6 linked regions of the Ovis aries genome follow. The protein of the gene in region 6 binds, or shares a complex with, the protein of the main gene of each other region. Links are inferred from orthologs where the notes say so. Each region holds a gene or a part of one and is shown on either strand. Other genes may lie near its edges.

Region 1 (3,964 bases), on a different chromosome or scaffold from region 6:
TGGTCCTTAAAAAAGAAAAAAAAAAAAAAAGAAGAAGAAGAAATGTAACCCTGACTTGTATAAAGTTCTTTGTTCTTACAAGATGCAAAACTGCACTGAAAAAGATGCTTCGCTGGGGCAGTTTCTCAGAGTAATCGGGGAAAGGAGCTTCCAGGCTACTCCTTAGTTTGGCTCAAATAAAACTCTTTTCTATTCTTATTATGGATTATCCATTATTATTCTTGGGAGATGATCTGGTAAGAGGGTGGGGGGGGGAGCCTGGAAGTTGTGACTTGACTGTTAGCCGTGAACTCCGGCGAGAACTTTCCGTTCTACAGGAATCACCTTTAAGGTCCGAAGGTCCGTGAGGTCCCAATCGTGAGAAATGCTTGGACTATAGCTGGGCAAAGAGACTCTGCTGGTCACACCTCCAAGAGATAAGGAAATCGTAGACTCTGAATTTCCGCCTTCGACTCTTGCCTCCCAGGGACGCGGGGTTTCATTCTCTTCCTCCACTCCCTTTTCTGGTCCCGTACGTCCACTTCCTTCCCGCAACACGCCTCTCATCCACACCCTAGTTCAGGAGAGGGGCTCTTTTCTGTACTCTGCAAATCCCTCACCAATCTGAGCGAGCTGGGTGGGTGGTTGGGTGGGGAATCAGAATCAAGGAAAGTTCAGGTATACGGTCCGCCAACAACCAGGGGCTCCAGGACAATAAAGGGGCATCCACCTCTCCAAGTTCGGCCTAGGTCAAGGAGAAGCTACACGGATGCGGGGGATGGAAGAAAAGACAGTGTCCAGGGCTCGGGCATGTTGACGCCCTAAGGCTGGAGTGGTGGTGACTGTGGTGTCTGGAGGATCATCTTGGGCAAAGTAGCAGGGGCTGGGGGCCAGGCCGCTCCCGGCATGGGGATACAGGGAGGAGCGAGTGTCCGAATTTCCGTTCGCCAGTGCTGTGTGGGCAGACTCGGCAATGGGGGGCCGCGCCACAACACACTCTCAGGCTGTGCAGACAACTCATCTGCACGCGGGAAGGCCGGCAGCTCGATTCTCCGCATCCGGTCGGGATCTGCACAGGTATTGTGGACCCGGAACAAAGTTTCCCAGAGGCCCGGAGGCGGCGCGATAATTTGCCGCTCTCGCGAGACTTTCAGAGGTCCCGTCGGAGCCATCGTTTTTGCGGTTACTAAGGCAACTGAGCGGTGCCAGCGTAAGCGGGAAAGCGGCGTACGTCGAATTTTTGTCTGCTAGCTTGGGAGACTTGAGGAGTGACCCTCCTTGAGCTTCCAGCCCCAGAGACAAACGGCCTCTGCTCCAGGCGGTACCTCTTCCCCTGGGAACCATGGGCCGGATCTCAGGGCTCGTGCCCTCTCGCTTTCTGACGCTCCTGGCGCATCTGGTGGTCGTCATCACCTTATTCTGGTCCAGGGTAAGACCCAGGGCCCTCTTCTCGTTCCTCCTTCCAATTTGGGGTGGTCCCAGCCCCACTCCACCCTTTCTCTCCCGGGGCCTTACACGGTGGGGTCTTCCCATATCCAGCCGCCAGACCCTCTTTCAACTTCTGTTTCTTTCTGCCCTGCTCCCTAGGACAGCAACATCCAGGCCTGCCTGCCTCTCAGATTCACCCCTGAAGAGTATGAGAAGCAGGACATTCAGTGAGCATGTGGGACAGGGTGGGCAGAATTAGGCAGTAGAGGGAGTGAAGGGGTCTTAGAAAAAGTTCAGAAGGCCTAAGCCACTTCCTTCTTTTCTGCAGGCTGGTGGCAGCGCTCTCTGTCACCCTAGCTCTCTTTGCAGTGGAGCTGGCTGGTTTCTTCTTAGGAGTTTCCATGTTCAACAGCACCCAGAGCCTCATCTGTATCCTTTCTACGTGTACTCCTTTCCTCCTCGCCCTTGTCCACCATAACGCCCTTCAGCCACTTAACTAGGCCTTTCTGGCACAATGGCGTTTGCTCTAGCAGGCAAACAGAATCCCTCCTGTGGAGAGATGTTAGGCAATGTGGAAGATTTAATACAATCTCTGATCACTTTTTGAGCTCCTGCTACTCACCAGGCACTGGAGATCTCAAGATGAGAGTACAACAGTTTTCTATCTTGAGGAAGAGGCAGATACACAGACATCTGCAATTCAGTGTGATAAGCACGGGTGCCATCAGATGTTAAGATACAAAGCACTATGGGAATGCCGAAGAGACAAAGGAAGTGAGGAAGATGGATCAGGGAAGGCTCTCAACACCAGGGTACTGGAGAGTGATCCCAGCAGTGTATTGTGTCACTGTGAGCATGTCTGTGTGCTTGGAGTAGATCAGGAGTCTACTACTTCACCTGAAGGATCCAAACTAGATATGGGATGGAGGTAGCTTGGTTTCCCAACAGGGCAGGCTCAGCTCTGGCCTCTACACATGGCCATCCTAAAACCCAAAAATCTGGGCTGCTGGCTCTGGCCTTTGCAGTGTGGTAAAGGGAGCAAGAGATGCCTTGCTCACCAGGAGCTGATTGTGAATGCAGATGCCAGGCCCATCACCGGCCTTTTCTGGCTCATCACTACCTGTTGACCCAAAGGCTTTCCTTGACTCTGGTGTATTCCCAAGCCATCGGGGCTCACTGTAGTGCATCTGTGGCCCTATCCTTCTTCATATTTGAGCGTTGGGAGTGCACCATGTATTGGTACATTTTTGTCTTTTGCAGGTATGGTAGCACCTAATGTTTGAGGATGGGGAAGGGAGGTTTACTTTAAATCTGAAGATTCCCCTACCCAGCCCTTTGTTCCATGTGTAACATACCAGATCCACTCAACATTCCCGAGTCTTTTTGAAGTCCTCCACTCCTACACTTCAGGGGGTCGGGGGGTGGGATCGCTGGCTTGGGGATCTGGGTATTTTTATTAGAAGAAACTCTGAACCCATCACCTGCCTTCCTCAGTGCCCTCCCGGCTGTCACCGAAATAACATTATTCATCAGCGTCTTTGGCCTGAAAAAGAAACCTTTCTGATATCTTCGTGACTGGAAGTAGGGATGAAGGCTGAAGGAGCGAAGGACTACTCACCCTTCCTGGAAGAGGGAGGCTTCAGCCCTCCTTCTAACACTGCGTTTGGTGAACGATGTCAGTGTTAGGGTAATTATCTCTCAAGTCTGGGATTATCTGTGTTTTGTTTACAGTCCTTTGTAATAAAATATATTTTAGGGTAAGATCAAACTTACAGGAATTCCTGCAGGAATTCCCTGGCTGTCCAGTGGTTAGGACCCCACGCCTCCACTGCAGCGGGTTCAGTCCCTGGTGGAGCAACCAAGATCCTGAATGCTAGGCAGCGTGGCCAAAAAAAAGAAAAAGAAAAAAATCAAGACAAAAATTTCAGGAGAAAATTGGGGTGGCCAAACTACTATAGAAACGGAAGGCTGTTTTCCAGCCTTGCACTGTAAGACCCTAAATGTCGCTTCTATTCTAGTTATTACGGTAGATTTCTGACGGAAGGGAGTGGGCGGAGATATGTAAATAAGGTTATACTTTAGTACCTCGAGCTCTTAAAGTGAGTGAAGCATTCTGGGAGGGATTAGCGTTTGCTTTTTGACAGCCAAATGGAAAAATTTATTTTAAAACATCTGCAAATAAATTGAACAACAGAAGTGGAAGAACCTGGATAGCTTTAGATGGCTCGAACTAACATGTCGTTTACTCACCCTACCTGTTAGCGGAGTCTTATTACCGGAGTACGGAATATTGCAGTCCTCTCGGTATCGTCAGGTAGGATAATCCTTACCTGTTCCTCCTTTTGGAGGGCAGAATAGAACATGATGATTGGAGCTCGCATGATTCGTGATTAACGGCTCTGCGTAATCAGGACTTGCAACACCCTGATTGCTCCTATCTGATTCTTCCTGGCGATCCGTGATGTTAATGTACTTTACGATTAGATTGAGTTTTTAGTACTGTCTCCTTAGTTGTACTTGAAGTAGCGTCGGGCACGACTGAGCGACTTCGCTTTCA
Region 2 (4,124 bases), on a different chromosome or scaffold from region 6:
CCTATCCCCAGTTTTTATTTACGGTAACTTTCAGCTCTAGAGGGCTTCCCTTGTGGCTCAGCTGGTAAAGAATCCACCTGCAATGCAGGAGACCTGGGTTCAATCCCTGGGTTGGGAAGATTCCCTGGAGAAGGGAAAGGCGACCCACTCCAGTATTCTGGCCTGGAGAATCCCATGAACTGTATAGTCCACGGGGTTGCAAAGATTCAGACAGGACCGAGTGACTTTCACCTTCACTTTTCACTTTCAGCTCTAGAGGGCTTCCCAGATGGCACTAACCTGCCTGCCAATGTAGGAGGCGTGAAAGATACGAGTCAGGAAGATCCTTTGGAGGAGATCAGGGCAACCCACTCCAGTATTCTTGCCTGGAAAATCCCATGCACAGAGGAGCCTGGCAGGCTACAGTCCATAGGATTACAAAAGGAGCCTGGCAGACTACAGTCCACAGGGTTACAAAGAGTCGGACATGACTAAAGTGACTTAGTACATATGCATACCAGCGCTAGAAGCTCGTTAACACTTTACCACTGCCTCCACTTACCTAAAACTACTCAACAGTCTTTGACCTTTATAAGGTATGAAAGTGAGTGATCATCGATCAGTCGTGTCTGACTCTTTGAGACTCCATGGACTATATAGCCCACGGGATTCTCCAGTATTCTGGAGTGGGTAGCTGTTCCCTTTTCCAGGGGATCTTCCCAACCCAGGGATTGAACCCAGGTCTTCTGCATTACAGGCAGATTCTTTACCTGCTGAGCCACAGCAAAGCTCTTAAAACATATCATTTCAGTTCAGTGGGTCAGTTGTGTCCAACTCTTTGCAACCCCATGAATCACAGCATGCCAGGCCTCCCTGTCCATCACCAACTCCCAGAGTTTACCCAAATTCATATCCATTGAGTCGGTGATGCCATCCAGCCATCTCATCTCCTGTCGTCCCATTCTCCTCCTGCCCCCAATTACTCCCAGCATGTAAAAGGTATTCTCACATCTAAATCTCTTCCTCTCCTAACAAATCCCTGCAGTGGTTGGCTACTCTAACAAATTATAACATAATTAACATAAAACAGGCTTCCCTGATAGCTAAGTTGATAAAGAATCTGCCTGCAATGCAGGAAACCCTGGTTCGACTCCTGGGTTGGGAAGATCCGCTGGAAAAGGGATAGGCTACCCACTCCAGTATTCTTGGGCTTCCCTTGTGGCTCAGCTGGTAAAGAACTGCCTACCATGAGGGAGACCTGGGTTCAATCCCTGGGTTGGGAAGATTCCCTGGAGAAGGGAAAGGCTACTCATTCTAGTATTCTGGCCTGGAGAATTCCATAGACTATATAGTCCATGGGGTCACAAAGAGTCAGACACAACTGAGCAACTTTCACTCACTAATGTAAGACATCCCTATGCTTTTTAAAACACAACTGTTCTGCTTCCCCTACACATTCTTTTAGGAACTTTAGCTGTCATTTAGATTTTACAAAGTGCTTTAGAGATTAACTTATCTAAGCAGAGATTCTTAAGCTTTCTCTAATAGTCAAAGCTACTAGTAAAGTACTGCATACAAACCTTCATTAATGATTGAGTAATTCTAAAAAGGTGTATCATATTTTCTTGACTTTCACTTTTTAGCTCATTTACTTCCACCTAAGTAAAGAGAAAAGCAACAATTTCATATTTTATAATCCTTAAACAAAATATAATAATTCTTTCAGTTGTTACCATTCAGTGATTTCAAGGACAATTTAATCATAGTTGTATATATGTATCTATGCTTTATCAATTAAGTACCTTGGATAAGGAAATTAATAAATTATCTGCCAATTCTTCTTGACGAGGCAGCTCATCTGGGTCAACCTTTCTTATTTCTTTCCAGTTTATATTAGGTGGCATCTTGAATTCTTTCAATGTGCTTTACCTTCTGTAATAAAACAAGTGGGTATTAGCATTTACAAGGTAAGTAGCATTACTGTCTTTACAGTAATTTAAAGTTGTTACAGATCACATTGTTACAACTCTCTACGGAGTTTGCAAAAAGTTATTGCTTCTCAATTGTGTAACAGATACGTCGATTAAATAGCCTGAATGAAAAGTACAGCAGTTGCAAAAAATCATCAGATATTTTATAGGTCAAATAATTACGAAGGCTTCCATGCTTAAACTATAAGTCAGAACTAAGATTCTGAGTCCCGCTCCTCCACGACCCCTTACCACCTCGAACACCTAATGGTGCCAAGTGCGGGGGTGCTTGAAAGGCTGAAGTTGAGCCCCGATTCGGAGAAACAAAAACTAGGATTTAAGAAAAAAAAAAAAAGTGAGGAAATATACGACTGAAACGAGTGCAGTTGGGCCTGGGAAATCAGGGCTGCAGCGAAAGGCAAGCAAACCGATTGCGGACAGGAGGCTAAGGAACGGGGAAACTGAGCTGTTGTCTTACCTGGGCCCCGAAGGTTAAAGAACCTGTGTGGGAAGAGACTCGGTTTGCGCTCACCAGGATCCACCTACCTACACCAAACCTGGCAACCAGCGGCGGCCGCTCAGCTACCGTACCCACTCGGCCCGGCCCAGCCGCCAAACCTGACCGCTCTCCAGCGCCCTTCCTATCGGACACTGGATCCCGCCTACTGGTCCGGAGCGAGTAATAGCGACAGCGGCTGCTAGGCGACACCATTCCCCACCCCGCCGAGGCCGCAACAAGAGCCCGGATGCTAGCGATGCCTACATTTCACGACCGTGGATGATGCTTTACGTTCAGATTCCCGCGCGAGTTCCCTGCACTGTGTGTTATGGACGAAGTGAAGGCGTGAGGTGAGGACTCCAAATCCCAAAATGCAGTTCTGCTGGGAGGCCGGGACTTTTGGACGATGAAGTCTCTGAGAAGTGGAGGTAGGCCGTTCCCGGCGTGCAGTGCGGGAGGCTGCGGCGGTACCGGGGTGCGGGGGGACCGCGGTGCGGGGGGACCGCACGGAGGCGGGAGGCGCTGCGGCCGAGGCGTGTCTGCGCTGGTGACCTGAAAGAGGCCGAACATGACTGTGCCTTCGGTGGCGTCGCTCGCCGGACCGCTCTTCCCGAGGTTTCTCTAAGTCAACCCCGGGTGGAACTGCTCCCAGGTGAGGTCGGGCTATTGGTTAGTGGCGGGGAGGAGGTAACGGGAGCGGTCCCGGGTGAGAGAAGCTCCTGCCTTTGGGGCCGAGGGGCCCGGCCAGAGTCTGAAGAGGTGGGAAGACGCCGCCCTCTCCTTGGGCGTTCGCTGGCGACGCCCTGGGTGGTGCCCTCTGTAAAAAGGCAGAAGTCTTAGCTTCTTCGATTTCATAGTCTGTCTCCGTACAGTGGAGTGGGGGCCGCGAGCTTGGCAGGGGGCGAGTGAGAATTTGGGAAGAGGACACTGCATCCTCCGACCTCGGCCGCCTTACCTGTAGCCCCATTATCTTCGCGGGTTGACGGACTAGAAGATTGAGCGAAGGTTCCAGAGAGGAGAGGTTAGAACTTGCCCAGGCCCCTGCTAGGAGATAGAAAGGGAAGGCTGCTCTGTACTCACCAGCCCTGGTGCTGTCACTTGCTTGGTGACCAAGGGTGGTTTTCCCTGACAACTGCCTTAAACGCTTGCAGCTTTTCTTTGTGCAAGTTTTGCCCATCGGGCTGCTCTCAACTATTCTGGAATGTGATACACCGCTAGGAAAACTTTCTTAAGCTGTAGACTTGAAAGCTAAATATATTTTCAACTGTTTGGACCAGTGCATCCATCTTTTTAAAATTTGAAGCACTTTCTTTCATTTGCTAACTATAATTGATACCGAAGTTTACTTTTGAAAATTTCTTTCCAAACCGTTCAGTAGAAAATAACATAATTTTGTGATCCACTTAGAGACATTCATCGGCTTTGTAGAATAGTGATCATTTTGTCTGGTCCTTGACTGGAAGATGGTATACCAAACACTGTTCATTAACCCTTTTTTGACTATGCCGTATGTCCCCATAAATTATCTTATAAATGAAAGTTTGTACCTGTTGACAAATCTGTTCTTTGTTTCTGTCAGTTTGCTTTTTTTAGAGTCCACATATAAAGGAGATCACAGTTGTTTTTCTTTCTCTCTCTGACGTTTCACTTAGCATAATGCCATCATGTTCCATCCA
Region 3 (3,500 bases), on a different chromosome or scaffold from region 6:
GGATTTGAAATAGCTCAACTGGAATTCCATCACCTCCACTAGCTTTGTTCATAGCAATGCTTTCCAAGGCCCACTTGACTTCACATTCCATGATGTCTGGCTCTAGATTAGTGATCACACCATCATGATTATCTGGGTCGTGAAGATCTTTTTTGTACAGCTCTTCTGTATATTCTTGCCACCTCTTCTTAATATCTTCTGCTTCTGTTAGGTCCATACCATTTCTGTCCTTTATCGAGCCCATCTTTGCATGAAATGTTCCCTTGGTATCTCTAATTTTCTTGAAGAGATCTCTAGTCTTTCCCATTCTGTTGTTTTCCTCTATTTCTTTGCATTGATCGCTGAAGAAGGCTTTCTTATCTCTTCTTGCTATTCTTTGGAACTCTGCATTCAGATGCTTATATCTTTACTTTCTCCTTTGCTTTTTGCTTCTCTTCTTTTCACAGCTATTTGTAAGGCCTCCCCAGACAGCCATTTTGCTTTTTTGCATTTCTTTTCCATGGGGATGGTCTTGAACCCTGTCTCCTGTACAATGTCAAGAACCTGATTCCATAGTTCGTCAGGCACTCTATCTATCAGATCTAGGCCCTTAAATCTATTTCTCACTTCCACTGTATAATCATAAGGGATTTGATTTAAGTCATACCTGAATGGTCTAGCGGTTTTCCCTACTTTCTTCAATTTGAGTCTGAATTTGGTAATAAGGAGTTCATGATCTGAGCCACAGTCAGCTCCTGGTCTTGTTTTTGTTGACTGTATAGAGCTTCTCCATCTTTGGCTGCAAAGAATATAATCAATCTGATTTTGGTGTTGACCATCTGGTGATGTCCATGTGTAGAGACTTCTCATGTTGTTGGAAGAGGGTGTTTGCTATGACCAGTGCATTTTCTTGGCAAAACTCTATTAGTCTGTGCCCTGCTTCATTCCGCATTCCAAGGCCAAATTTGCCTGTTACTCCCGGTGTTTCTTGACTTCCTACTTTTGCATTCCAGTCCCCTATAATGAAAAGGACATCTTTTTGGGTGTTAGTTCTAAAAGGTCTTGTAGGTTTTCATAGAACCGTTCAACTTCAGCTTCTTCAGCGTTACTGGTTGGGGCATAGACTTGGATTACCGTGATATTGAATGGTTTGCCTTGGAGACGAACAGAGATCATTGTGTCGTTTTTGAGATTAGGACTGTTAGTTTTCATTATTTCTATACTTCATATTTAGTAGAAGGTCACAAGCAAAACTAACTCAAAAAAAACCTCAAGTTCTTTCCTGAGGGCACTACGAATTCAGTTCTAATTTCTAACCCATGGTGCCACAAACTACACTTAATCTTGTAAATAAGTTTTACTGAAATGTAGTCACGCCCATTCATTACATGCCTGCTTTTGCTCAACAGTGGCAGAGTTGAAAAGCTGCAACAGAGCCCACACAGCCTGCAGAGCTTCAAGTGTTCATTATGTGGCCTTTTACAGAAAAAGTTGGCTGACCACCATTCTAAATAGTCTATATCTAAAATTACAGTACTGGCTATTTCTTAAGAACTACATTCTAAATAATGACCGCAAATCAGAACAGATATCTCACTCTCAAGCTCCTGGAACTTACTAATTCAGGAAAACAGAATGATTTTCAACAAAGACTGAACCACAGTATAGTTCAGGGAGCCAGAAAAATAATCTGACTACAACACCCCATGCTCCAGGCATTTTAACAACATCAGAAGTAGATTGGATTTCCTATTGGTCAATAAAATAGTTTCTCATGGGAAAAACACACTGTGCTTCCAAAAAAGCATTCAACCTATCAAATTTCAACTGCTAAACTTCGTACAAGACTGAATTTAAATTGGCTATCTCTGAATAATAAACTGGTCCCATCCTGAATAAATTAACTTCTTATAAGTGCTATTATTTTATCAAAAAGCTTTGAAATCAGAATTACGAAAACCAGGTAACTCAGAAGAAACTGTTTATCTTGCAATCGACTGGGAATGTCATTTTCCATTATTCTCCTACACGATGTGAACTGTGAGAATTCCTCGTAGATTCATCTACTAGAAAGGTATAAACAAAGCTTTCCTTTCTAATTTTCGTTAGAAAATTATGTCCACAACAAAAGCTGTAAAATTAAACTGCACTTTTCACCCTAGGCTATACCTGAGACTAATTCACAAATACAAAAACGTGACACCTTATTTGTTTACAAATCAAAGTGAAACGTAATTCAATCTCTTAACACAGAGATTTCATTATAACCTTTGTGAAAAGTACACTCTCACTTCTCTTTTGCCTGCACTATCATCTGGCTGAATGCAAATAAGGGATAGATACTGTTCTACACAGGCTTCCCAGATGTCTCAGTGGTAAAGCACCCATCTGCAGATGCAGGAGTTTGATCCCTGTGTCAGAAGATTCCCTGGAGAAGGAAATGGCAACCCACTCCAGTCTTCTTGCCTGGGAAACCCCATAGAGAGGAGCCTGGCGGGCTACAGTCCATGGGGTCACAAAAGAGCTGGACACGAGGGCTTCCCTGGTGGCTCAGTCAGTAAAGAGCTGGACACGACTTAGCGACTAAACAATAACTCTTCAATACACTGATTTCAACAGCATGGCTTCTGAAAGATGCAGAATTCAGGAAATCAGCCTGGGGTGATTTGGGTTTTTTCAGCCTGGAGGAGTTTTCACTGTCTGTCCCCAAATTTTATAATCTTGGTCCAATTTATCAAAACTTCATGTTACAAACTTACGTGACAACTGGAATTGAGCAGGCAGAAAAGACACTGAAATCCACGGAGCTGCAATCAGGATCACAACAGCAGTTGATGTCACACTGTGCTGGAGACAAGTCACAGACACACAGAGCAGCAACTACAGAAACAAGAGAGGTGGGGCGCAGAGCGTCACAATCTGCAGGTAGTGACTGCCCCCTGCCACTGCAAAGTACCAAAAGTCCATCTCATACAAAGGTCCATTTTATTCTTCCTATTGCACTTTGGGGGAAATCTGTGAAGTGAAATGAGTCAGTTTGAGCACTCCTCCATCTGAGATTTTCCCAAAGTGGCCAATCATCTGACTCACTTGGAAAGTTCTGTTTGCACTCTCCCTACAAAAACTCTGATTTGGTAAGCTAACTGTGAAACCCACACACCTGGTCCTTTCAAACACTTTCCAGGTGATGCTGATAATTAAAATAGGTTTAAGAATCAACACAGTAAATCACTTGCCTGACCATAAGAACCATCGGTTTAATATTGCAGATTTCTAAGCTCCTCTGGAGATTCCAATTCAGAGGAAGGGCCCACTTAAGGCTACCAAGAATCAAAATTCTCAATTTTGTTCCTCTCCTCAGATGTCACCTGCAGCTTTGAAGCTGAGTCCATGTTCACAGGCTATTGGCCAAGGATAACGCTGGCTCAGGTTCCTTGTACTTGGGGTTCTAGAAATATCTTTGGTAATTCAGACAGTAAAAACATGGGAAGAGGTAGAAGCCCTACTTAGCAAGTTTTAAT
Region 4 (2,662 bases), about 48 Mb from region 6:
CAGAACAGGTGATTGACAAGTCAGATTTTGCTTTTAAAAGATCCCTCTGGGGACTTCCCTGGTGGTCCAGGGGTTGAGGATCCATCTTCCAATGCAGGGGAGATAGGTTCTATCCCTGGTCAGGGAACTAAGATCTCACATGCTGTGGGGCAGCTGGGTCCCCGTGACTACTGAGCCTATGGGCTCTGGAGCCCTAGTGCCACAACAGAAATCCCATGTGCCACAACTGAGACCTGACTCAGCCAAACAAATAAATAAACTTGAAAAAAAAAAAAAAGATTGCAGTTAAAAAAAAGATCCCTCTGGCTGTCTCACAGGTGACGGATTGGAAGGTGAGGCAGGCCACAGTCCTTTCAGCTCTTAAGGATCCCAAATATCCTTGCTGTTTCTTTTCTCATTCTATTAGGAAATCCCATTAGCTCCCCCTTTGGAATGCATCCTGAATGTCATCACTCCCCCGACCCCCATCACCTCTCACTAGGCTGTTACCATAGAGTCTTTACTGAGGTGTCCCTCCTGTGAACACCTAAGTCAGGCCACATTCCTCCTCTGCTTAGGACCCTCTGTGGTCCCCACATCACTCAAGGTAAAAGGCAAAGCCTTACCGTGGAAGGACAGGGCCCTGCTTGATCTGGTTCTGTCTCCCCTTCCCCGTCTGCTCCAGCCACATCAGTCCCACCAGGCAGCTCCCACCTTAGGGCCTTTGCACTAGCTGTCCCCTCTGCTGGGAGCACTCTTTCCTAGATAGCCATATAGCCCCCAGTCTCTTCCCTCCTTTAAGCACTGCCTCCGATGTCACCTCAGTAAATTTTTTCTTGATCACCGCCTTCTAAAACTGCATGCCTACCTACTCCCACCCTACCCAGCTTATTTTTCTCCAGAGCAGTTATCACCATCTGACATACCCTATAATTTGCGTATTTACTGTGTTGGTTGTCTAAGATGTCAGCTGCACAAGGGCAGAAATTTTTGTCTGCCCTGTTCACTGCTGTATCCCCAGCTTCTAGAACAGGGCCAAGCTCAGAGAGACTCAAAAAGGAGGGTGAAATGGGGCTGGATCTCCCAAGCACTTTGCCTATAGGGTGAGGAGCTGAACTGTATCTTGAGTGAGGAACTGAGAAATCTATGGAAAGGGGAGAAAGATGCTTCCAGCTGCCAGGTGAAAGATGATGAAGGCAAGAAAGAAGGCCCCGAGGCCAGGAAAGAGGACAGGGTGTGGCCATGGGGAGGGAAGGAAGGAGGCATCCAGGACCAGGCCCACCACCCTCACCTGGGGACTGGGCTCCCCAGATATGTGGACACAGAGGAGAAGGCCAACAGAGAATTCAACAGAGGCCAGACCTCAAGGGTCTAGAATGTTGAGGTTGGACTTTATACTGAGAGCATTAGGGAATCATGGAAGGGTTTTGAGCCGAGGAAGAACCTGGATTCAGAAAGATCCCTTTGGCTGCTCTGTGGTGGTCCAGAGGAGGAGGGTGGGGCAGAAACCTGGCAGGGGGTCTTCAGGAGTAAGAGGCTGGACTGTACCCCTTCACCTTTCCACCCTCCCCCCTATCCTGCAGGCTGGCCCCGGCTCCATCTCCAGGTGTGGTCCCAGGACAGCTTCGGCCGCTGCCAGCTTGCAGGCTATGGCTTTTGCCATGTGCCCAGCAGTCCAGGCACCCACCAGCTGGACTGCCCCACGTGGCGGCCCCTGGGCAGCTGGCGAGAGCAGCTGGCGAGGGCCTTCGTGGGCGGCGGGCCTCAGCTGCTGCATGGAGATGCCATCTACAGTGGGGCTGACCGCTATCGCCTGCACACCACCTCCGGGGGCACTGTGCACCTTGAGCTGAGCCTGCTGCTGCGCCACTTTGATCGGTATGGGGTTGAATGCTGAAGGAGCCTATAAGAATGGCTGGCCCCCAGCCATGTCTTGGGACACCCCATAAGGGGCAGGATGGTGCAGTGGTCAGAAGCATGGGCTTTGGAGACTGTGAGGCCAGACCCAGCCAAGGCTGGTGCAGCTTCTAACCTGACTAGCACCTCAAGCCCAGTGGCTACCCCTCCCAGGTCCAGTTTTCCCATCTGTAAAATGGGCTAGTAGGTGTGTGGGCTCACAGGGGTTGGGTGCAGAGAAGCTGCTGGCACGTGGAAGGGCTCAATAAAGATGTAGTGCTTTTCAAGTGTGGGTGCTTTTTTGACCTTCATCTGTCAGACGTGGGCCGGGGGTGGGGGGATTCCTCCTACTGTTACCCTCCTCAAGCCCCCTTCCCTTGCCCTCTGCCTCAGCGTCTGACCCCCTTCTCCACTCTGGGTGATGCTCTTAAGGGCCCCCACTCGTTGGAGGTTCCCCCCGCCCCGTGCCCCTTTCCCCAGTGGCTCCTTAGTTTCTGGCTGACCCTCTTCCCCTCTGCCCCGGTTTCCCACTCTCCACTCAGGGCAGTCCACCTCGAAGTCCCTGTATCCTGGGTCCCCATTCTCTGAGCCTTCCGCACTACGTAGGTCTTTATGCTCTCGCTGACCCCCGGCCCAGTCCTCAAACCCACAAGCATCACTGCCGCCCGCTTCGGTAGCGCTCGACCGCCAGGAGGCAGCACCCTGTTGGTGGGGCGGAGCCGGGTGTCCGCCCCCTCCCCCCGGGCTTAAGGGACCCCCCTTGGAGCCCGCCCACGCAAGATGCGGA
Region 5 (4,023 bases), on a different chromosome or scaffold from region 6:
TCCAAAATCACTGCTGATGGTGACTGCAGCTATGAAATTAAAAGATGCTTGCTCCTTTGAAGAAAAGCTATGACCAACCTAGATAGCATATTAAAAAGCAGAGACATTGCTTTGCCAACAAAGTTCCATCTAGTCAAAGCTATGGTTTTTCCAATAGTCATGTATGGATGTGACAGCTGGACTATAAGGAAAGCTGAACGCCAAAGAATTGATGCTTTTGAACTGTGGTGTTGGAGAAGACTCTTGAGAGTCCCGTGGACTACAAGGAGATCCAACCTGTCAATCCTAAAGGAAATCAATCCTGAATATTCATTGGAAGGACTGATGCTGAAGCTGAAACTCCAATACTTTGGCCACTTGATGCGAAGAGCTGACTCACTGGAAAAGACCCTGACGCTGGGAAAGATTGAAGGCGTGAGGAGAAGCGGATGACAGAGGATGAGATAGTTGGATGGCATCACCTACTTGATGGACATGAGTTTAAGTAGGCTCCAGGAGTTGGTGATGGACAGGGAAGCCTGCTATACTGTAGCCCATGTGGTCACAAAAAGTTGGACACAAATGAGCAACTGAACTGAACTGAACAGAAGGCTGATTACATAGTACCTTTTGCTTTCATGTAAGAGAGAAAAGTTCTAAATTAAGAATTTGATTTTTAAAACTGACCCCTACAAATGCATCCTAAATATGACTAAATTATAACAATTTAAGAGTAGATAAGTATTTTGAAATCTACTGCTTGAAATGAAAGAATATACAAAGGCTCTGAGATAAATTTCTTAAAAACAGATTATTTTTCTCCATAGCTGAGTATATCTATCATTTAACAATTTTAAAATATAAAATTATTATGGTCTCTCACAGCAAGGGTTTTCCTTTAGTTCCAAGAAAATCCCTGATTATGATGATATACTTTTGCTTGCACCTATTTATTAAATTACCACTGATAAAGGAATGCATTCTTAAAATCTGAAGGTAACTCACTCCCCTAGGATTTTTTCACAACAACAGTAAAACTCTTGGTCAGCTGTGAACATGGTCAGAATATACCCTTGTAATTACAGTACAAACAATCAAATGTACTTCAGATCCACAAAGAAAAGGTGGATAAATAATAAATTGAAATTTTAATACCTTCAGAGCAAGCACTGTAGTAAAATTTTGCAAATAAGCTTTTATGTTAAGAATTCTGTACACAAGCATCTAAAGAGTTATGCTATGTCTATATTTCAGCAGATCAAACTTATAATCATTCAGCTGAAAATCAAGTTAATATGTAAATGAACCTTGAAAGCTCAAGACATGAAGTTATTAAATTTTGCAAAAGTACAAGCTGAGTTCTGTAAATGGAATTCAAATTAAAACACTATGTAATATAAATCAGGAGTAGGCAAACTAGCAGCCAACTTTTTGTACAGCAAGTGAGCTAAAAACGGCTTTTTTAGATTTTTAAATGGTTGGGGGAAATATCAGTAGTATTTTGTGACACTGAAAATCATGCAATTTCAACTTTAGTGTCCATAAATAAAGTTTTATTGGAACTCTGCCATGTCTATTCCATTACCATTATCTATAACTGCCACAGAGACCTATGGCCTGCACGGTATTAAGTATTTACTATCCGGCCCTTTACAGAAACTCCTGATACTTTACATCATCAGATTTTAGTGCTAGAAACCAGAAACGTAATAACCTAATTTTTCACATTATGTTTTTCTCTGTACATCCTAAATCATGACCAGCCCTCAACTGGGAGGACAGGCAAGTGATTAGGGTGAAAAATTGAAACGGTGGGAAATGACTTTTCTCTGCTCCCTTTGAAAAATCCCTGAACCATGCAAGAGGAAAAGATTTCTATTTCCCAGCACAGTTCAGTGATAAAAGCTGCCTGGGTGTGGTTGACAGTATGTTGTCTATCATCATGATTTAAGAGGGTTAAACTGTTTTGCAGAAAACTGCGTTGTCACTTGTCATATCAAATGTGGCATCGTGGTATTGTGTTACTTGATTTAGGTCAAGAGTTATAAATATATAGGGGAGGAGAAGGAGAAAGTGGGGAGAGGGCGAGTTTTGTTAAAGGCGATGCTAGTGAGGCAGCTGCCATTCCGGACTGGAGAACGTTTAAAGTAACTCATTAAAAAAAACCTATGTCTTCTGCCAGAAAATGGACTTGTGGCAAGTACCTGTTCTGCTAGGAAAGAAGAAAAGGAAAAGATATTTTACCGGGACGCGGCGGGGAGGGGGAAGTGGAAGGGGAGATTGCTCTTTTCACTCCATTCAGGGCAGAAAAGCCAGGGCGGAGGCCGCAGAGGAAAAGCAAAGAAATCGGCCTTCTCGGCCTTCTCGGACGAAAGGCACCGGAGGCGGCTTGCGAGGGTGGCTTTAAATTTTTTATATTTTGAGGAATGCCAGCGCCACCTCAGCCGCCCCTTTTGCAACTGGCCGGTTAGGCCGCAGCATGATCAGCCCGGGACCAGCTGGGTATCAGAGTTCGGGTATCTGGTCCCAGTCCCAGCCAGCGGCCCGGCCCCTCCTCCAGGGCGTTTCCCGCACTGCGGAGAACCAGCTGAAGACCAAACCACCATCTTAGGTCCGGGCAAAATCTGGCCGTTCCAAACCCCGCGCCAGGTCCTCCGCACGCCAGACACCCTGCGCTGGGCCTCGGCCACTCACCCGGACCCTCGTTATACTCCGGCCCGGTCCGGTTGGAGTCGCTGAACACGGTCCGGCTGAAATTTCCCAGCCGCTGGCGGACTGGATCCGGCAGCTCCATGCCCGGACCTCGGTACCACTCACTGCTAGGTCTTCGCAGTACTCAGCTGTTCCCACGGCAACCGAGCGGTGGGAGGTGCTGTGGGCTCTGGCGCACGCGCGGATGCACTTCGGAGCCGAGGCGCGGGGACCCCTCGAACTGAGAGGAGAGGGACTCATACCTGTGGGGCGCATCAGATGGGTGCAACTCGCAGATTCCTTAGTCTTAAGTTCCACCCTTTTAACAATAAGCAACAATAATAATAAGCAACCTGGGGTTGGATTTGATATAGGAGCTCTAACGACTTGTCAATGCAACCTTTTTGGAAGGAAATACAGAATGAATGCAGAACTTAGAGAATATTCATGACCCACTAGCTTATCTGTATCTGTATATACACGTACTCTTTTCTAGGAATATCTGTTGTTATGTACTAGGGATATTTTATATATACACATGCCATGCTAAGTCGCTTCAGTCGTGTCCGACTCCGTGCGACCCCAGAGGGCAGCCCACCAGGCTCCCCCATCCCTGGGATTCTCCAAGCAAGAACACTGGAGTGGGTTGCCATTTCCTTCTCCAATGTAGGAAAGTGAAAAGTGAAAGTGAAGTCGCTCAGTCGTGCCCGACCCTCAGCGACCCCATGGACTGCAGCCTTCCAGGCTCCTCCGTCCATGGGATTTTCCAGGCAAGAGTACTGGAGGGGGGTGCCATTGCCTTCTCCGACACATGCCACATATATATATACACACACACATATATACACACACACACACACACACACACACACATATATATATATGCACTTATGCAATATATATATATATATGCACTTATATATTCACACATACTGTCTTCTCAGTTCAGTTCACTCGCTCAGTTGTGTCTGACTCTTTGCCACCCCACGAATCGCAGCACGCCAGGCCTCCCTGTCCATCACCATCTCCCGGAGTTCACTCAAACTTGCGTCCATCAAGTCAGTGATGCCATCCAGCCATCTCATCCTCTGTCGTCCCCTTCTCCTCCTGCCCCCAATCCCTACCAGCATCAAAGTCTTTTCCAATGAGTCAACTCTTCGCATGAGGTGGCCAAAGTACTGGAGTTTCAGCTTTAGCATCATTCCTTCCAAAGAACACCCAGGGCTGATCTCCTTCAGAATGGACTGCTTGGATCTCCTTGCAGTCCAAGGAACTCTCAAGAGTCTTCTCCAACACCACAGTTCAAACGCATCAATTCTTCGGCACTCAGCTTTCTTCACAATCCAACTCTCA
Region 6 (4,172 bases):
TCTTTGCTAGGATCTCAGCTGTTCTCTTCATCGAAAACCCAATTCTAGGTTATAATAACTAAACTTATCATGGTAATCATTTTGAAATGTATAGAAATACTGAATCACTATATTGTATAACAGGAACTAACCTAATGTTGTGGTCAATTATACTTCAAAAACGAACTCATTAAAAAGAGATCAGGTTTGTGATTACCCGAGGCAAGGTGGAGGGAGGGGAAAGTTGGATGAAGTCAGTCAGAAGATACAAACTTCCAGTTATAAGATAAATGAGTACTAGGGAGGTAATGTACAACATGATAAATATAATTAACACTACTTTATTTTGTAGATGAAAGAGTAAATGCTAAGAGTTGTCATCACAGGGGAAAATTTTTTTCTATTTCCTTAATTTGTAATCTATATGAGATGAGAGATGTTCAACAAATTTATTGTGGTAATCATTTCATGATGCATGTAACTCAAATCATTATGTTGTACACCTTAAACTTATACAGTGCTATATGTCAATTATACCTCAATAAATCTAGGAGAAAACCCCACTTCTAGGTTGCCTTCAAAATAGGAGTATTTATGAGTGGATCTCATTCTGAGCACAAACTTCACACTAACTCGGCACTGCAATGTGATCCTTTAGGGCCTTTTGATGGAGAACTTGGCTATTGACTACTTAAAAAAAAAAAATTTCTTCTGCCATGTTTGAAATACTAGAAAGCAGATGGGATGGGACGGTGGAAGCATTCAATTAAGTGTTCAGTTCAGTCGCTCAGTTGTGTCCGACTCTTTGCGACCCCATGGACTGCAGCACGCCAGGCTTCCCTGTGTAACTTTATCTTTGAGGAGGACCACGGCTTCTCCTAAAATAAGTAGCATAAAGCTTGTTCCCAATCAAGATAGCAAAGTATAGCAGAGCTATACAATAATTATCTTTTTTTTTCCCCTCGAACAGCAGGGAGATAGGTCTGTTTCCGTGTCTGCCCTGCTATGGAGTATAGTGAAAGCGATAGAAAATTTGGAAACAAAGGGACCTGGTTTGGTCTTAACCCAGGACCAAGTGTCTAGGACCACGGCCACTTTTTTTTGTTTGCCTCCAACGTACGGTGTGCTGTGATTGGTTAGACTTAAGTGTACAATAAACCACATTGGGGATTAATAGATTTGACTATTAATAAATAGTCAACATTTATGAAAAAACCTTATTTTACAAAATTGTTAACAACGGCCACGGTTTGGGCGCACGGAAACACCCTTTGGGAACGCGCAAGCAGTGTGCGACCACAGTGTACTTGCGGGCCCCGCCCCGTTGGCCACGCCCCCACGGAAAGCCCGCCTGCTCGCTATTGGTCGCTCTCCCTGGGCCGTCGGTTGCCGTGGAGACCACGGCTATGGCAACCAGGAGAAGCCATACTAGGTCGAGGCTCCGGAACTGCCGAGGGAACAAGACCCCGAGTGCTCCTCATGGCGCTCTATGAGCTCTACGCGCATCCAGTGGAGCGGGGCTACCGTGCCGGGCTCTGCTCCAAGGCGGCGCTCTTCCTGCTGTTGGCCGCCGCGCTCACGTACATCCCGCCGCTGCTGGTGGCCTTCCGGAGCCACGGTGAGTCTGCCCCCTCGCCCCGGCCGGTGCGCGCCCCGCAGCGCTACGTGGCTCCCGCGCCGCCTCCCTGACCCGGGTCTCTGCACCCCGCACTCTCGTTACCTCAGGGTTTTGGCTAAAACGGAGCAGTTACGAGGAGCAGCCAACCGTGCGCTTCCAGCACCAGGTGCTGCTCGTGGCCTTGCTAGGATCCGAGCCGGGCGGGTTCCTCGCCTGGAGCACGTTCCCCGCCTTCAACCGGCTGCAGGAGGGTCATCTGCGCGTCCCGCTTGTCTCGGTGAGTGCTTCCCGCCTGGGCCCGGCTGCGCAGACTGGGCTGCGGAGGGGATGGGCGGAGGGCGCGGCCTGACGGGAGGCTCCGGCCCCTGTCCCGGGGAACTCGGTGTGCGGCTGAAGGAGTCACGAACCCCAGACCCGAGCTTGTTTCCTTTCCTGGAGGCCTGTTTGTTGGTACATTCGGCTTCTCCAAGCCGTCCCCCACCCCGGGTAAGCTGGCTGCTACTGTCAGTGTCTCTGCTCTCTGCAGAGTCTCCAACCCCTGACAATTCCTGACATTTCGGCCTGGCCCTTCCTGAGGGAATGGTGGTCGCAGAGTTTGCTGTGTGAGTTGCGTTGTTGTTCATTCCCTAAGTCGTGTCCGACTCTATGGTGGTGGTGGTGGTTTAGTCGCTAAGTCGTGTCTGACCCTTGCGACCCCATGGACTGTGGCCAACCAGGCTTCTCTGTCCGTGAGATTCTCCCAGCAAGAATACTGGAGGCGGTTGTCATGCCCTCCTTCAAGGGATCTTCCCGACCCAGGAATCAAACCCAGGTCTCTGGCATTGCAGGCAGATTCTTTACCAACTGAGCTCTGAGGGAAGCCCCACTCTGCGAGCCCGTAAACTGCAGCACGCAAGGCTTCCCTGTCCTTCACCATCTCCCCGAGTTTGCTCAAACTCCTGTGCATTGAGTCAGTGACGCCATCCAACCATCTCATCCTCTGTTCCGGTCAATCACCCCGTTGTGCCGCTCCGTTGTCCGTGCGCCCACTGCCCGCAAAGAAAGGGCAGGCAGTTTTAGGCGGACTGTCACGGCGAAGCCAACGGGCTGATTGGTTAGCTGACCTCCAGAATGTCCTGCTGGCCAGGCCCGCCTCCCTGGGCTCACCTCTTCAGGTGCCGCTCAGTCCTGCTGCTGCTTCCTGGGGCTGAAATGAAGCATTTTACTGCCTGTCCTGTAGTATCTGGTTCAAGTTAAGTGAGTGCTTCCTTTACAGTCACCCCTTTAAACTCACTTTCTGAAAGCATTTTCCTTTGGAAGTAGGAAAACTCTGGATTTCCTTCTTCCAAAGTTGAATCTCTTTAGATATCTGAGATGATTGGCCTACATTCCAATTTGTGTAGCTGAAAAAAAATAATTTCAGACTTTTATCCCAGTAACTGAATAAAATGGAAAAAAAATTTTTAATGTAATTGGCCATAAATGAATAACCACCAACAAAATATGGTTATGATTACTTTTTATGATTACTTTAATTTGTTTATAATTATAAAAATGCCTGCTCATTGAAAATAGAGTTACAGGTACATATCAGTTCAGTTCAGTTCAGTTCAGTCACTCAGTCATGTCCAACTCTTTGCGACCCCATGCATCGCAGCACGCCAGGCCTCCCTGTCCATCACCAACTCCCAGAGTTCACTCAGACTCACGTCCATTGAGTCTGTGATGCCATCCAGCCATCTCATCCTCGGTCGTCCCCTTCTTCTCCTGCCCCCAATCCCTCCCAGTATCAAAGTCTTTTCCAATGAGTCAACTCTTCACATGAGGTGGCCAAAGTACTGGAGTTTCAGCTTCAGCATCATTCCCTCCAAAGAAATCCCAGGGCTGATCTCCCTCAGGATGGACTGGTTGGATCTCCTTGCAGTCCAAGGGACCCTCAAGAGTCTTCTCCAAAACTACAGTTCAAAAGCATCAATTCTTCGGCACTCAGCCTTCTTCACAGTCCAACTCTCACATCCATACATGACTACTGGAAAAACCATATGAAATTAAAGGCTCAGTTTGGTACATGTATCTAGACTTGTTATAATTAACCTTCATTTTAAGATCTGCTAGGGACTTCCCTGATGGATCAGTGGTAAAGAGTCCGCCTGCCAATGCAGGAGACATGGGTTTGATCTCTGGGAGTCAGGAAGATCCCCTGGAGAAGGAAATAGCAACCCAGTCCAGTGTTCTTTCCTGGGAAATCCCATGGCCAGAGAAGCCTCGTGGGCTATATACTACATGTGGTTACAGAAGAACCAGACACAACTTGGTGACTAAACAGCCAAATATTTCATGATATGGAAACCTGTAATTGATTTACCAGTTTCCTGTTGGTGGATTTTTTGTTTTTACTTTTTCACTATTAGAATATTGCAGTGAACAAGATTTTTACTAAATCATACACCTTTAAACATCAAATTGTGAGGAACTGGAATAGAAGCTGTTTGTTGACATTGCAAAAATACATAGAAAACTAAGCAAGCAAATAAAATAATTGTCAACTCTAGAAAAGTAGAAGGGAAAAATAATCAGAGTTATGAATAGGATTTCA

The links.
Region 1: TMEM231 (region 6) and TMEM107 share a complex: the UniProt entries of both Homo sapiens proteins name them as parts of the tectonic-like complex. The link is inferred for Ovis aries from reciprocal best matches to the Homo sapiens genes TMEM231 and TMEM107.
Region 2: TMEM231 (region 6) and CEP290 share a complex: the UniProt entries of both Homo sapiens proteins name them as parts of the tectonic-like complex. The link is inferred for Ovis aries from reciprocal best matches to the Homo sapiens genes TMEM231 and CEP290.
Region 3: TMEM231 (region 6) and TCTN1 share a complex: the UniProt entries of both Homo sapiens proteins name them as parts of the tectonic-like complex. The link is inferred for Ovis aries from reciprocal best matches to the Homo sapiens genes TMEM231 and TCTN1.
Region 4: TMEM231 (region 6) and B9D2 share a complex: the UniProt entries of both Homo sapiens proteins name them as parts of the tectonic-like complex. The link is inferred for Ovis aries from reciprocal best matches to the Homo sapiens genes TMEM231 and B9D2.
Region 5: TMEM231 (region 6) and TMEM17 share a complex: the UniProt entries of both Homo sapiens proteins name them as parts of the tectonic-like complex. The link is inferred for Ovis aries from reciprocal best matches to the Homo sapiens genes TMEM231 and TMEM17.

The regions. Positions count from the first base shown.
Region 1 is NC_056064.1:27,637,300-27,641,263, reverse strand, and holds the start of TMEM107 (transmembrane protein 107), read left to right. Parts: upstream 1-1,164; 5' UTR 1,165-1,321; coding exon 1,322-1,408; intron 1,409-1,566; coding exon 1,567-1,634; intron 1,635-1,735; coding exon 1,736-1,836; intron 1,837-2,570; coding exon 2,571-2,667; intron 2,668-2,901; coding exon 2,902-2,971; 3' UTR 2,972-3,964. UniProt on the Homo sapiens protein: Plays a role in cilia formation and embryonic patterning. Requires for normal Sonic hedgehog (Shh) signaling in the neural tube and acts in combination with GLI2 and GLI3 to pattern ventral and intermediate neuronal cell types.
Region 2 is NC_056056.1:124,433,901-124,438,024, forward strand, and holds the start of CEP290 (centrosomal protein of 290 kDa), read right to left. Parts: upstream 2,801-4,124; 5' UTR 2,713-2,800; intron 2,603-2,712; exon of another isoform or gene 2,428-2,602; intron 1,912-2,427; 5' UTR 1,884-1,911; coding exon 1,782-1,883; intron 1,638-1,781; coding exon 1,560-1,637; intron 1-1,559. UniProt on the Homo sapiens protein: Involved in early and late steps in cilia formation. Its association with CCP110 is required for inhibition of primary cilia formation by CCP110.
Region 3 is NC_056070.1:54,510,250-54,513,749, reverse strand, and holds part of TCTN1 (tectonic-1), read right to left. Parts: intron 2,860-3,500; coding exon 2,739-2,859; intron 1-2,738. UniProt on the Homo sapiens protein: Component of the tectonic-like complex, a complex localized at the transition zone of primary cilia and acting as a barrier that prevents diffusion of transmembrane proteins between the cilia and plasma membranes.
Region 4 is NC_056067.1:50,063,066-50,065,727, reverse strand, and holds the end of B9D2 (B9 domain-containing protein 2), read left to right. Parts: intron 1-1,562; coding exon 1,563-1,876; 3' UTR 1,877-2,162; downstream 2,163-2,662. UniProt on the Homo sapiens protein: Component of the tectonic-like complex, a complex localized at the transition zone of primary cilia and acting as a barrier that prevents diffusion of transmembrane proteins between the cilia and plasma membranes.
Region 5 is NC_056056.1:45,732,028-45,736,050, reverse strand, and holds the start of TMEM17 (transmembrane protein 17), read right to left. Parts: upstream 2,801-4,023; 5' UTR 2,774-2,800; coding exon 2,674-2,773; intron 1-2,673. UniProt on the Homo sapiens protein: Transmembrane component of the tectonic-like complex, a complex localized at the transition zone of primary cilia and acting as a barrier that prevents diffusion of transmembrane proteins between the cilia and plasma membranes.
Region 6 is NC_056067.1:2,346,256-2,350,427, reverse strand, and holds the start of TMEM231 (transmembrane protein 231), read left to right. Parts: upstream 1-1,372; 5' UTR 1,373-1,458; coding exon 1,459-1,597; intron 1,598-1,704; coding exon 1,705-1,874; intron 1,875-4,172. UniProt on the Homo sapiens protein: Transmembrane component of the tectonic-like complex, a complex localized at the transition zone of primary cilia and acting as a barrier that prevents diffusion of transmembrane proteins between the cilia and plasma membranes.